Tamandua tetradactyla: one gene and its partner. The protein of the gene in region 1 purifies or fractionates together with the protein of each later gene. This does not show direct contact. Links are inferred from orthologs where the notes say so. Each region holds a gene or a part of one and is shown on either strand. Other genes may lie near its edges.

Region 1 (7,981 bases):
AGCTTCAGCTAGATATTGCTAATTGCCATGGTTTGCTAACCCCCAACCAAAACCATTCTGCCAACCCTAAATGCCTAGGGCTTTACGTGAGGTTCTACAAAGGTTCCATGAACTATGATGACTTTCCAGAAACCTACAACCTCCAGACAGGTCCCTGGACCAGATAAGTCCTGAAATGCAGAGGGGCCAGCCTCTCCAGAGCATCAACTAGTTCCATTCCCCTATCCTATATTGTCGACAGCCCTTGGCAACATGAAAAAGTTACAATGGGCATAGCCCAAATACCCCTAAAGACTGAGAGAAGGATCAAAGAAAAAGGTGGAATTATAACACAGATAGGATGTAACAAATGACTATGACTGCCGACTCATTATATTGATATTTCTATTAGTCTCTGGTGTCTTGGAGCAGCTAGAAGGAAAAACCTGAAATTGTGGAATTGTAATCCATAGCAAACTTTGAAATCTGTTCTATAACCACTTCTTACAATGTATTCTGAAATATATTGCTTTTTTGTATATGTTTTATTTCACAATAGAAAATGTTTTTAAAAAGGTATTTTTTTGTACTTTGATGAATTGTATGTCTTAAAATTTTACTCCAAACAGATCACTGTCAGTATCTGGAACTGCGATTGACTTTTGCACGTACTGACCCAACATCCTGCAACTGTGCTAAACTCGCTTACTTGCTCCAGCACCTTTCCTGCAGATCCCTCGTAATCACATTGTCTGCAAATAAAGACAGTTTTACTTCTTCCATCCAGGCCCTGTGACTTCCCTCTCTTCTTCCTTCACTGGACAGAAACTCCAGCACCACGCTGAATCCTGAGCCATCTGACTGCGCATCCCTGCCTTGTTCCTAGTGCCAGGGGGAGTGGCCCCTCTTGCACCCCGAAGTGCGGACTCAGCAATGAGTTTTGGGAGAAGCCCTCTGTCATCCTGAGGACGTGCCCTGCTATTCCTGTTGTCTGAGCGAATGTCTTGACAACTGCGGGACGTCACAATGGCGGATTCACCTGCAAGGGGACAGTGGGTTGTGATGGAAAGAAACGTGGACTTGATGGCAGCTCAAGCTTGGGTGGGGTGTTGCCTGGGACCCTGAGGAGGTGACTGCTTTGAGTTGAGTTGTGTCCCCCAAGAAGATGTGCTGGTATCTGGAAATATCATCTTATCTGGAAGTAGGGTCCTTGCACGTAGGGAGAAGGCCATTCAGGGCAGAGGCACATAGGAAGGGAAGGAGGCTGGAGGCTGGGTGAAGTGTCTTCGAGCCAAGGAGTATGAAGGATGGCCACCACCAGAAGTGGACGTGGCCGGGGGGGACTCTCTCCCAAGCCTTCCAGGAAGCATGACCCCATTCTTTTTTTTCATTTTATTGACAAGCATAACAACATACAAACATGAACATTCTTAACATAGTTGTATATTCATCACCATGATCATCTCTTAGAACATCTGCATCATTCCAGAGAAAGAAATAAAAAGAAAAAAATCTCATACATACCATACCCCTTACCCCTCCCTCTCATTTACAGCTAGTATTTCTATCTACACAATATATTTTAACCTTTGTCCCCCCTATTTTTTTTCTGTACCCCTTACCACTCCCTTTCATTGATCACTAGTATTTCAATCTACTCAATTTAACATTTGTTCTCCCTATTATTTATTTATTTTTAATCCATGTTTTACTTATCTATCCATACTATAGATAAAAGGAGCATCAGACACATGGTTTTCACAATCATACAGTCACACTGTGAAAGCTGTATCATTATACAACCATCTTCAAGAAACAAGGCTACTGAAACACAGCGCTACAGTCTCAGGTACTTCCCTCTAGCTTCTCTAATACACCTTAAAGTAAAAAGGGGATATCTATATAATGCTTAAAAATAACCTCCAGGATAACCTCTTGACTCTGTTGGAAATCTCTCAGCAACTGACACTTTATTTTGTCTCATTTCTCTCTTCCCCCTATTGGTTGAGAAGGTTTTCTCAATTCCTTGATGCTGAGTCTCAGCTCATTCTAGGATTTTTGTTCCATGTTGCATGGCCCCATTCTTGCATTGGTTTCCTGCTTCTGTGCTTTAACCCACAGTGCATTTACAGAAGCCTCAGAGAACTAACTAGTGACTGAACACCTTGGTTTCCCCTGTGGAAAGGGAATTATCAGGGGTCTCCACCCTGTGACTCCACCTGTGACAACCAGCTGGAGGCCTAGAGACAGTGCCGGGTTTGGCTTTCCAGGAAGCTGAGCTCAGTTAGGAACAAACCTGTACTAGAGTGAGAAGTAAAAGAAAACAAAATGTGTCAATGCAACCCCTTCTGCAGCTCCCACTGTTTCCGGGGTAAAGGGGGGCTCTGGGCAGACCCCACCCCAACTCATCCATCAGTCTCTCTAATCACGTTTCAAGTCTTGGCTTAGGCTGAGTGCTTCTATGAAGACTCCTTTAAACATATGCGGAACTCTTCCAGGGCCCACCGATATGCTTCTCTTCCTACCTGTCCTTCTTGGAAGGTTCTCATCACTGTCCATGGTTCTTGGCTCCCTCCTGCCAGCAGACAATCAGCGCCTTGGGCGCTGCAGCCACCTCCCCCCAAGAAACTTCAGCTGAGATGGGCCCAGGGGCTGTCTTTCTGTCTGACTGTCTTTCTGGCAGTATCTAGTGTTTGTTCTGTGGGGAGGCAGGCATCCTTTAGGAAACATGGTATATCAGTTAGCAATGCTGTGTAACAAATCATCCCCCAAAATGTAGTGCCCTCAAATAACAATAATTGTTAGTTATCTCATGATTTTTGCACGGCATGATGTAGATGTGGCTTGGATGGAAGGTTCTGGTTCAGTCTCTCAGGAGGTGGCAGTCACGCTGTCTGCTAGGGTGCATTACTCCAAGGCTTGGTGCAGAATAGAGGTCCCACACCCAGGACTCTTCGCTCTAGGGGCCTTGCCACAGAGCTGCCGGAGCCCCCCGCAACATGGTGCTTGGTCTCCAGTAGGCCAAGGTGGAAGCCTCAGCCCCTTTTAGGACCATGCTTGCAAGCCAAACTCTGTCACTTGCAGCACACCTTTTTGGTGACAAAAAGCTCTCCTGTTTAGGTGGAGGATTAGACTCTAAAAAGACGTAAATGGCAGGACCATTTTGGAGGCTGGCAACCAGGCACTGCCAAAGGGACCAGAACCCGGACCAGCTGCAAGCGAGAGGACAGAGGATAATGGTAACGGAAGAACAAACTCTGAGCTGGGCCCTACATACCCTGATCTTACGTCGTATGTAGGTCACCCCGATAAAACCCAAACACAAACAAACATAAGCAGCCCTGGATCAAACCTTTACACTGCAGAGAAGTCCAGCGTAAGCTTTGGGATGGGGGTGGCAGAACCTAGGAGGGCCCAAGTGGGAGGGCCTTGAGGGTATCCGCTTGACCGGTAAGGGTCCAGACCCCCCATGGACCTGGAAATCCTCCATCTGCCTCTAAGGAGTCCGGCACCTTGAGCTGCTTCTCCTCCTTGGAGACTCAGTTTCCCCATCCATGAAATGGGGTTTTGTGGGTTTGAGGACAGTGCCCCGAGCCCTGCCGCGATGGGGGCGGGTGTAGACGTTTGTGGCTGCATGTGGATTAAGCACTGGTGACTCTGGGGTCACCTGGAGGCCGCCGCGGGGAAATGGAGACCCTGCCTGTTCTCAAACCGCTGAGAAGCAGGAAGTACCGAGTTCACTTGACGGGTGCGGACGTTTCGCTCTTACCCAGACTTTTTCGGCCAATCTCTGTTTTCCGCCGAAAGCACTTTGCTGGGACCCTCCCAGCTCTGCTCTGGGTTCCCTGTGCGCCCCTCGTTCCCCCACGGGCGCTTCAAGAAGGACGTTCTGCTTCCATCTGCCACTTGGGGCTACTTTTCGACCTCTCACTCCGCCCCTAACGGTGTTCCGGGGGTGGAGGCCAGGAAGGCGTCTGGAGAACTCCCGAGCCGCGGTCCTCGGGGTCTGCACCCACTCCCGCGCGTTCCGAAGAGACCCCGCGTGCCCCTCCCGGGTCCCCTGGGAGATCAACACCTCGGCCTCGCCACCCCACGCCCGCGTGCCGCCCCCTCCCCGTGACGGGCGCCTCCTCGGGCCAATAAGCGAGCCACGGCCGCCCTCGGGCGGGGCCCAGCGGGAGCCAATCCCCGAACGGGCGCCCGCCCGGGTCCAAACGGCCCAATCCACCGGCGCGGAGGGGCGGGACGCGGGGCGGGGCAAGAAACCCCAACCAACGGGAGGACACGTTGGCGCCGCGAGGGGGCGTGTCCGGCGGCGGGGCGTGCGCGGTGGCGGAGGCGCCGGGTGGGGGAGGGAGGTAAACAAGATGGCGGCGGCGTGTCGGGCGCGGAAGGGGGAGGCAGCCCGGGGCGCCCGCGAGTGAGGCGCGGGGCGGCGGCGGGGGCGGCGGGCGCGGCCGGCTCCCGCGGGCCGTGCATGGGCTGGGCCCCTCGCCGCTCCGCCTCCTGTACACGCGCGGCGGCCGCGGCGGGGGGACGCGCGTCCGGGCTCCGGCAGCCTCGGGACCCCCCGGCCGGGGCCTGCGGCCTGCGCCGCCCCCCGCGCCCCGCCGCCGGGGCTGCCCGGGGAGGCTCGGGCCGCCGCTAGGCGCGGCGTCGGCCGCGGGGGTCGCAGGCCGGGCCGGGGGGCGCCGCTGCGCGCTGAGGAGGGCGGCGCGGGGTCGGCGGGCGGCGGCTGCCCCCGAGGGGCCCCGCGACCCCCGGGGTGACGGGCGGCCCGGAGGAGGCTGGCCTGCGCCGCGGGCGCGCGGGGCCAAGGCGCTAACGCCCTGGAGGACGAGCCGGCGCGGCCGGCAGCCCCGGCGGCCTCCCCAGGGCCCGCGGACGTGGACGTGGCGGCCCGGACGGCGGGGCCAGGCGGCACCGGTCGAGCGCTCCGCCGGGCGCCCGCGGACCTTCCTTCAGGACAATCGTTTGGCCGAGGAGGGCTGTTTTTCCTCCGACTCTGCGCTGACTCTGTGGACACGGGGAGCGGGGATCGCCGGGCGTCCCCTCCAGGATGGACGTGGGGGGCTCGCCGCGCCTGGGCGTGTTCGCCGAGGGCGAGCTGGCGTCCGTGGCCATGGACACCTTCATCCACCGCATCGACTCAGCCGAGGTCATCTATCAGCCGCGCCGCCAGCGCGCCAAGCTCATCGGCAAGTACCTGATGGGGGACCTGCTGGGGGAGGGCTCCTACGGCAAGGTGAAGGAGGTGCTGGACTCAGAGACGCTGTGCCGAAGGGCCGTCAAGATCCTCAAGAAGAAGAAGCTCCGCAGGATCCCCAACGGGGAGGCCAACGTGAGAAAGTGAGTGGGGACTTGAAGGGGCCTGCCCGCGGGGGTACCTCTCCCAGCCCACCTGCCTCTCCATGCTTCCCTCTTTTCCTCTGTCCCCCTCTTTTCTTTCCTTCCTCCTTCCCTTCCTCTTCCCTTAGCTCCTAACCCTCCCACCCTCTGTTCTCCCTCCTTCCTTCCCTCCCTTTGCCCTCTCTCCTCTCTCTCCTACCCTTCTGTCTCCCTCCCTCCCTTCTGTCTCCCTCCCTCCTTCCTGCCCTCCCTCCTTTCTCTTAAACACCGGAGCTGACAAGCATGTATCTGTATCCTCCCTGAGGAGAGAAGTGTCTTTGGCAGCCTGCAGAAGTGTTTTTACTTAAGTTGGGGTAGGTTGTTGCAGGTGGGACCCTGATTAAAATGAGTGTGATATCATTAAAATGCCTGTGATATTCAACTCCCTGGGCAGGGGGCACGCCCCTTTCTCTCTTCTGCTGTTAAAGGAACTCTTGCCCAGTGAGCCAGTTTGCACTTAGTTTATTTGGGCCCTTCAAGGGTGTTGGGGAGGTGGCCCAGCCCACAGCAGGTTTCCTGCATGCTGGCTGGCTGTTGCTAGGCTGAGGGGGTGTAATGTTTATCCCGTTTGAGGGGAACCCTGCCGCTGCCAAAAGGCCTTGTTTGCGCCAGCTTATCGGTCGCGGGAGGGGACTGGCGCCCTTCTGGCCTGCTGGGCTATGGCAGAAGAGGCAGCCTTGACCTGAGCCACAGGTGGACTGTCCCCCAGGCTGGCATTCTGGGCTGTTTGGCCTGCGACCCATTTCCCCCGCCCCGTCCTAGTGCATGGGAGAGAAGTGTCTGTGAGACCCTCCCTTGGTGGCTCTCCCAGGCTGGGAGGGGGAAGCTACCCTTCCTTATCGCTGCCGTGCACGCCTGCCTGGCCAGGTCCCCTGTTGCTTTCACCCTTTTCTTTCTTTGGAAACTCAGCAGTTTTCAAGAAGATTGTTTCCTTAACAGCCTAGCAGTACGGACCTGGGGCGCCTGACCTTGGGCAGGGCTTTTAACCTCTGTGCTTCGCCCTTAATCTCCCTGGCCGGTCAGCTTTCACCCTCCCCGCCCCCGCGGGCGGCGCGGGACAGATCCAGTGGGGCCCTGCCTGGGGAAGCACAGTTCTGACACTCCCTGGGTGGAAGGGTCCAGTCAGGTTCCACCCAGGGGCCTCCTGAGGGCTACCGCTGGGTCTGGGGGCACTTGCGGGGGTGTGGCCATGTGCCTTTCCTGCTTTCTCCCGTACTTGGTGGTTATTGGGGCACTGCCCACTGCCAGAGGCCAGGCCTATGACAAGGGGCCCCTGGATGGCAGGCGTCTGTCCCAGGGAGTACATGCCCCCTGCCTCTCAGGCTCCCTGGGGCCAGGCTCGTTTGGGGGTGTCTCCGTTGCCCTCACTTGGCTGCAGCCCCTCTGGGCATGCCCCACCCTTTGATCATGGGTCTGAGGTCCCTCCAGGCCCCTTACTGGGAATTACCTGCTCATGTTTAGGACGTTACTCGCTGGGCTGCAGGGCCCAGTGGCGTGACTCAGGTGTTTCGCCAGTGAGTTGGGGACATAGGACAGGGTGGGCAAGTGCACAGAGCCACTGGGAACAGCATCCAGGGTAGGGTGGAATGTCTGTTACCAACACCGTTTGTGAGCTTGGCCTCCTGACCCCCACCCCAGGGCAAAGCTGGGGTCTAGTGCCCCCTATCGGGATGTGCCTAACTCAGCTGCCTACTACCTTCCTGGGAGACTCACAGGTCCTTCCTGGCTTGAGTCCTGTGGGCTGGGAGCTCTGGTGCCAGGGGAGCTATGGGTTACCCATCTCCTGGGCCCCTGTGGGCACAGGCCTGGACTGGAGGCAGCAGGGCTGACCAGGCACCCAGGCATTTGGCTGAACCTGCACTTCCGCACAGCTGGGCCCTCAGCAGAAAGGGTGGTCAGAGTGCCGCAGTGAGGAAGGTGACAGCGTCAGGGTCACAGGGCAGGGTCAAGGTTCACATGGCAGGAGTGTGGCACAGTTGGGGGTTGTGTGGCAGGGATCATGAGCAAGATTGGGGTTATAGAATTTTAGAAAAAAGCTTTCACTTCACCTCTGCTGAAGCAACAAGGGCAGAGCCGGCACATGCTGTAGAGCAGGATTGGCTTCACTTATCAAGAAGGCACCCCTTAAGTTATGTGGTTTGGACATTGGCAAGGGCATACCCCAGGGTCAAGGCAGAGGACATTTCTGTGATCCCAGAAGTTCCCCGGAGCTCTGCAGAAGGGGTAGGTGGGCAGAACCCAATGTGGGCAGAATGGCAGGGCCAGGGGGAAGTGGGATGGCATGTGTTCTGGGCTGCCTAATTCTCAGACATAGACTGGGTCCTCAGAGACCTTGCAACCTGCATGCAGCTGTAGGGGAGCTCCCAGGGGACATCGGTCCTCCTGAAGCAGAGGGGAAACTGAGGCCCAGACTCCACCGTAGTCACCAGCTTCCCATGGCCCTGTGGCTGGTGCTGATTCTCCCAGCAGCACAACATGTCCTCAAGGCCCTGCTCAGCAAAGGGGCTGGGTGTCTACAGTGCCAGGATGGGAGCAGGGCCGCGTGCCCAGAGTGCCCTGAGCACCCTGTGGTGTGGGAGAGGAGGGACCCTCCCATGAGCCTCTCTGCTGAGGC
Region 2 (7,364 bases), on another chromosome or scaffold:
TTTCTCTCCAGGCCTCTCATTTCAAAGGGCTTTCCCGGGGGTGTTTTTCTTCTGCAACTCCAAAGGTTTCTTGTCCGTGTTGGCTCTAAAGCTTTGTCCAATATTTCCTCTTAAAGGGCTACAGTAAGTGACCCACCTGAAATAGGTGGAGGCCCTCTCCATGGAAACCACCTAATCAGAAGGTCCCATCCACAACTGGGTGGGTCACATCTCCAAGGAAACAACTTAATCATAAAGATCCCACCCAATGACACTGAATGAGGAACATGCTTTTCTGGGGTGCACAACAGTTTCAAACCGGCACACTGACTCTGGGGGATCCTGCCTTCTTATCAAGCCAGCATACCCAGCCCCATGTGCGGGCGACCCCAAAGAGCAGGGCCCCGCCCCGTACCCCGGGCCAGTCAGACTTCGGGATCACTGTAACCCAACCGCAACCCCATGAGAGAACCCAAGCCAGAGCCACCTCGCCAAGCCTGGTTTCCAACCCTCAAAACGGTAACAAAATAAATGTGCAGGGTTGTTCCAAGCTGCGGATTTGGGGGGCAGTTTGCTACATGGCAGAGGATAACTGGGATGTGGGGAGAAAGGCTTCCTTCTGCCCAGGCACTCAGGACCTGTCTAGGCTGACCGAAGCTTGGGGGCTTCAACACAAGACTTGCTGGATTGGATCATGCAGCTGGTTTTGACACGTCTTCATCTCAGTCCGCACTCCTGCGGGTGTGAACCCGTCGTAAACAGATTCTCAAAATGTTATTCTAATTAAGGCGTGGCCCAACTGAAGGAGGGGGCCATCATCCTGTAAGCAGAAGAAATGCAGACCTGGCAGGGAGGAGTCAACTGAACCAAAGGGATGGCAGAGGATGTCGCCATGTGGCGGGAAAGCCACGGAACCCAGGATCACATGCCAGCCACCGCGCTAGGGAGCCCCGGAGGAAGCCAGCCTTCCAGCCTCTAACCGTGAGCCAAAAAATCCCTGTGGTTTAAGCCAACCCACTGTGTTGGCATTGGTCACGGCAGCTCAGGAGAGCTATGACAGTGATTTTCTCTGTGGGTGTGGACACCCAGCCAGTGGGCAGGGTGGAGAGAGAGCTGTGCAGGCTAGGCTTGGGTGCAGTGTATGACTTCCCATCGGCCCAAACTCAGTTACATAATTCATACCTGAATGCAGAGAGGCTGGGAAATGCACAGCAAAGCAAAGAGAAAAGGACTGTGTGAACGAGGCTCGTGGCCACAGGACTGTGGCTTCTAAGGTCTGCTGTCACACTGACTTCCACCCTTTCTCTCCCGGGAGCCAGATTCCTTTCTTTTGGGTCATATCTCAGTGAAGCTTTAACAATGATGGTTTTTAAAAATTTTCAAGTTTCCACTTGCAAACATTGATTGGATCTGAAAATGCTTTCCACATTTTAAACGCTGGGCAAGGCTGAGAGATGATTACTACAGCTATAGGGCAAGTGGTTCCCAGCTGAGACACAGAGTGATGTCCTCGCTCGCTACCTTCTAGCCAGGCCAGCACTTTCTCTATTCCTGAAACACACCAAGCTTGCTTCTATTTTAAGGGTTTTGTACAGCAAGTTCACTATTATCTGGAACTCTGCTCCCAGATCTTCTCTTTAATGGGCTCCTTTTCACCCTTCATGTCCCAGAGAAGCCTTTCCATGCCCCATCACCACGTTTTATCATCTTTCTAACCCATATTACTGTCTGAAATTATTTTGATAATTTGCTTGCTTAGCAGCCTTACTCCCTCAACCGGAACTTTACGTCTGCAGGGACTTTGTTTTGTTCACAAACATAGATCCCTGGCATGTGGCATAGGACTGACACACGTTAGATGAAAACTATGAGTCCGAAGGACGAACAAATGACTGAATACAGCATCACCATCAGCTGCTGTGTTTCAGTCTGTGGTGCTGTACATTTCAGGTAATTGTGCAATATCACAGATGACTGCCCTAAAAAACACAAGTTAGAATATATTCAAGGTGATACCTAGAATCACAGCTCTTTTGATCACTTTGTTCTTGAGGAGGGAAGGGTGACTTACTCTAAGCTCTAACTCGAAGTGGTTCACCTATGCCACAATCCAGAGGTTTTCAAACTTCCGTGTCCATGAGAGTTACCTGCAAGGCTTGTTAAAACAGATTTCTGGGCACACCCTCAGCATTTCTGAGGTAGTAAGTCAAGCATGGGGCCAAAGGATTTGCATTTCTAACAAGTTCTCAAGGAATGCTGACGCTGCTAGTCTGGGAAACACACTTCAAGAGCCAGAGCCACAATCTAAAGGGCCCACCTACGCTAAAGCGTCATCAGTAACTCTGGCTACTAGGAATTCTTGTAGCACTTTACTTCGCGGGAACATTGTTTTTACTTCATTAAAAGCTGTGTACAAAAATTTATATTTGACTAGTGCATTTCCTAATATAACTTATGTAGATAGTTTGATTGAACACCATTTAAGTACTTGGAATCTCAGGTAGGACATGAGATTTTGTTGGTTTGTCCAGAGTGATGCCTCGATGAATCCCAGAGTGATTCGATCAGTGAGTGGAAAAGTATTTGCGGGCGGGCCGCGGTGGCTCAGCGGGCAAAGTGCTTGCCTGCTATGCCGGAGGACCTCGGTTCGATTCCCGGCCCCAGCCCATGTAACAAAAACGGAAAAACAAAATACAATAAAGCAAGAAAATGTTTGGAAATGTTTCCCTTTCTTCCTTCCTTCCTTCCTTCTCTCTGTCTTTCCTTTAAAAAAAAAAAAAAAAAAAAAAAAGTATTTGCAAAGTCCCCTTCAGGGAATGGTGAGAGTGGGGAGAAATTCAACTTCCCCAAGTTGAATTCTTGATATTCTCACAAGCAGGGTGGACAACCAAAGCTATAGGCTGAGCCCCCAGTCTTGGGGTTTGTTCATATGAAACTTAACCCCACAAAGGATAGGTCAAGCCTACTTAAAATTTAGGCCTAAGAGTCACCCCCAAGAGAGCCTCTTTTGTTGCTCAGATGTGGCCTCTCCCTCCAGCCAACATGATGAGCAGTCTCACCACCCTCCCCCTCTCTGCATGGGACACGACTCCCAGGGGTGTGGACCTTCCTGGCAACGTGGGACAGAGATCCTGGAATGAGCTGAGACTCAGCATCAAGGGATTGAGAAAACCTTCTCAACCAAAAGGAAAAAGAGTGAAATGAGACTAAATGTCAATGGCTGAGAGATTCCAAACAGAGTCGAGAGGTTATCCTGGAGGTTATTCTTACGCATTAAGTAGATATCACCTTGTTAACCAAGATGTAATGGAGAGGCTGGAGGGAAATGCCTGAAAACGTAGAGCTGTGTTTTAGTAGCCATGTTTCTTGAGGATGATTGAATAATGATATAGCTTTCACAATGTGACTGTGTGATTGTGAAAACCTTGTGTCCGATGCTCCTTTTATCTACCTTGTCTACAGATGAGCAGAACATATGGAATAAAAATAAATAATGGGGGAACAAATGTTAAAATAAATTTAGTTTGAAACGCTAGTGATCAATGAAAGGAAGGGGTAAGGGGCATGGTATGTATAATTTTTTTTCTGTTTTCGTTTTATTTTTCTGCTGTCTTTATTTCTTTTTCTGAATTGATGCAAATGTTCTAAGAAATGATGAATATGCAACTAAGTGATGATATTGTGAATTACTGATTATATATGTAGAACGGAATGATCACGTTAATATTTTAGTTCGTTTGTTAAATTTTATTTTAATTAATAAATTAATTAATTTTTTTAAAAAAGCTGTGTACATCCATGGGCCTATAAGTCAAAATACCTGTCTCGTGCGCTGCAAGGAATAAGTCTTGGGACCAGTTGTTGACACACAACATTCTAAGGCATTTCCATTTTAGAATAAAACATGTTAAAATCATTCATCTAAACGTGTCTCAAATCTACCAATCCATTTTCATCTCATCAGGGCTAGGCGTAAGCGCCTACGTCCCTGAGGCCGCCGTCAGAATCTGCACAGGACTGTCAGGGAGCTGCGGAGCGGCAGACACCGGGGCGAAACAGGCTGCCGTCCGCCCAGCTCGGCTCGCGGAAGAGGCTCGAATCAGACGGGCGTACGGGACGACCATCCCCAGCAAAACCCGGAAAACGTACATAATTATGAGTGCTGTTACCTCTCTGGCCCGCGGCCCGTTGGGACGGCTGCGGGGAGGGATCCACCGGGCACAGAATAGAGACCGGAAAGAAAGTGAACTTCCGGCCGCGAGGAGTCCTCGAATGGTTTCCATGGAAACAGAACCTGTCCCCAGGAGGTGAGATCTCGCGGTGCTTGAGCCGGCGGAAGTGACGTCGAACCCTACAGGAGGCCCTCCGGTGCATCGCCACCGCCCCTCCTCCCAGAGCGGCCGCCTTTTCCCGCCCGAGCCGCCTCCGCCGCTTGGGCCACCCGCGGGAAACATGGCGTCTGCCCTGGAGCAGTTCGTGAACAGCGTCCGGCAGCTCTCGGCTCAAGGTGAGGTCCCAGGCCGCCGACTACGCCTGGAGGGGCCCCGGGGTTGGGCCCGCATCCCCGAGCCCGTGGCGCGGACGGCTGTACGGCCCCGCGGCTCCAGAGACGCATCTCTGGGCTGGCTTCGGGGTTGAGGTGCCGAGACTCGCAGCAGTCGGGCTCCGCCCGCCCCGCCTGCCGGCCTGCGCGCTTGCGACCGGGTCGCCCTTCCGAGCTCTGCCTCGGCCGCCCGGCCCCGCTCCCCTCCTCCCACCCGGTTAGGGCCCGTTCACTGGACGCGCTGCTTGACAGTTTGGGGGCGGGACGGTTCCCGCGCGCCTATTGGACGCCTCGGCCCCTATTCCGCTCCGTGGTTGGCGGGCCACCCTGTCTGTCCCGGCGGGCCTTGGCTGCCTGGGGACTAGGCCGCGGGGAGCCGGCGGGAGGCGAGTCCATTCCGGGCGCCTTGGCTCCGAGGCCCGCCTGGCTCGTGTCTTCCGCCCGGCCTCCCTCGGCTGCTGGCCGGCGCTCGCTTGGGAAGCCTCTGCGCCTATTGTAATTCTCCGACAAGCCCAGGAAACGCTCGCTCTTGCGGGTACTGCGATTATTGTGCACTTAATTTTCCATGCCTTGTGGTTCATTCATCTCATCATCTGAATGTAAGGCTCGGGATGGAGCCCGGGACTCGGAGTTAGAGAAATTAGGTGCTGGGTGCTTAAGCCCTTTTGACTGTCCTGAATAATAGCCCCTGCCTCATGGAGTCGTGAGGATTGAATGAGAGAAAACATAAAAGCACTAAAAACAGGGACTCTCACGTAGGACGCAATAAATAAGGTAAAAAATCAGTGTGAACTGCCATTCCTTGTAAAGTTCTAGGAACTGAGTGACCTTGGACAAGTCACGTATAATCTCTCGAGTCTCATCTCCATTTGTAAACCTGAAGGGGTGAGGTCTACCTCTCTGTAGGTGATCTCGTTTGGAGCTTAATTTGTAGTCGTCTAGCCCCATGTTCCTTATTGATAGCAATTTGGCTCACAAGTAAGGCACGGATTTGTGTTTCTCTACGAATGAGAAAACCATTCATTTATTCCACACTTAGTTTCTACTTTCTGGGTTATAGTGTGATTAGAAGGTTCCAGTTGGTTCAGTCACTTAATGGACCAGCCACTTAATTTTCTTGGGCCAGTTTGCTCGTTTACAGAATGGAATGAGGACTGTAGGTGCATCAAGTGGGATTAGTCATCGGAAAGCTTTGTTCAGGACTCTCTCTTAGGGACAGCCGGTTAGGCAGAAATAAATACCATACACACACAGTTTCTGTGCCTCATTCTTACTGCATGTTAAGTGTTTGAGTTTCTGTTTTCTCTGAGCTTATTCACAATTTTCTAACATGAAAGGTACATTATCATTTCCAGCTTTTTCAGATTAGAGGGCGTTTCATCAGCCACGTCTCTGGTTGTGCTCATTTCAGATAAACCCTGTGGCACTTAAACTTATTCTTTACTTTCCTCTTGGCCCTGCTCAGTTAACTACCTTATGATTTCTTAATAACCCAGTGTTTTGTTTTGCTAAAGCTGGCAGAATGCAATATACCAGAAATGGACTGGCTTTTAGTGTGAATTTATTAGCTTACAAATTTACAGTTCTAAGGCCATGGAAACATCCCAGTTAAGGCACATGGCCTCGTCTGTTCTTCCTTCTCTCCTGGGTTTTGTTGCTTCAACTTCTGGCAGAATTCCCCATCTGTGGCTTTTTTTTGGGAACTTCCTTGGGTGTTTCTCTGTGAACGTCCCTTAATTTCATCTCCCATAAAGGACCCCAGTATGAAGATTAAAACCCACCTTGCATGAAGTGGGTCACATCTCAATTGAAATAACCTGTTCAGAAGATCCAAGTCCAGTAGGTCTGCGCCCACAGGAATGGGATAAACAAACATGGCCTTTTCTGGGGTACACAGCAGCTTGAAACTACCACACCCAGCTTCTTTTTAAGTTTCAACTTGGCATTGGTTATTTAATTGGGGGAAAAAATAACTCACTGAAATAATTGTTTCAGGTGCTTAAAATCATTGTAAATGTATTTAAAGTGGTAGGGAAAATTATTCAGTTGGAGGAAAATGTCTTTCATGCCTACCAGTGAGATCCATAATGATATAACTTGGTATTTATTTCTCAGTTTAATGTGTCTTATTACCTTGAAAATTGATACCTAATAAGATTGTGGGTGTTTAATTCTTGTTTTGTGCAACATGTAATAATAATGGGACATTTTGGTAAAACTGATCAAATAAGAAATGTTATAGTATCGAGGCGTCAGAAATTAAACTATCAAAGTGCCTAGCCACAATCTTGTATTTAAGCGTTGTATATTTTGCGTTATTTTAATAAGTGCAGTAACACGACTACTCTGTGGATGTGGTCAGTATTGGTGACTTGACGTTCAGAAGGTGAAAGAGAAGTATTAGAGGAGGAAGCTGAGAGCCTGATGCTCGTGGGCACAGATGAAACTCCAAAGCCACCAGGAGGACAGGGAATTTGGGGGTGCAGTGTGGCCATTGTGTCCCTCTTCAGCCTAACCATCAAAATGAATGTCTCTATAAAAGTAACAACTCAGGCTGAATTGATGTCTATAACTTTGTCGTTAAAATACCAGTGTGGTAGAGTAGAAAGATCTGTTGGGGTGCGTGGTAGTTCAGTGTTTAGAATGCCCGCCTTTCACGCGGGGGACCCAGGTTCCATTCCTGGACCATGCACCCAAAAAAAAAAAAAAGAAAGAAAGATTAGTTAGAAGATTAATTAATTTCACAAGCTCTGTTTTGGGGCTGAATAAACGACACAGTCTTTCCATCCATGGAGTTTACTCCGTCCCCTAACTGTCAATTTCATTTTATGGGAAGAGCGCC

The links.
Region 2: the proteins of STK11 (region 1) and COPS3 purify together in Homo sapiens (affinity purification with mass spectrometry; 5 studies listed by BioGRID and IntAct, with this or other methods). This does not show direct contact. The link is inferred for Tamandua tetradactyla from reciprocal best matches to the Homo sapiens genes STK11 and COPS3.

What each region holds. Positions count from the first base shown.
Region 1 is NC_135337.1:81,784,689-81,792,669, reverse strand, and holds the start of STK11 (serine/threonine-protein kinase STK11), read left to right. Parts: upstream 1-4,870; 5' UTR 4,871-5,038; coding exon 5,039-5,328; intron 5,329-7,981. UniProt on the Homo sapiens protein: Tumor suppressor serine/threonine-protein kinase that controls the activity of AMP-activated protein kinase (AMPK) family members, thereby playing a role in various processes such as cell metabolism, cell polarity, apoptosis and DNA damage response.
Region 2 is NC_135332.1:1,019,568-1,026,931, reverse strand, and holds the start of COPS3 (COP9 signalosome complex subunit 3), read left to right. Parts: upstream 1-4,302; 5' UTR 4,303-4,431; coding exon 4,432-4,486; intron 4,487-7,364. UniProt on the Homo sapiens protein: Component of the COP9 signalosome complex (CSN), a complex involved in various cellular and developmental processes.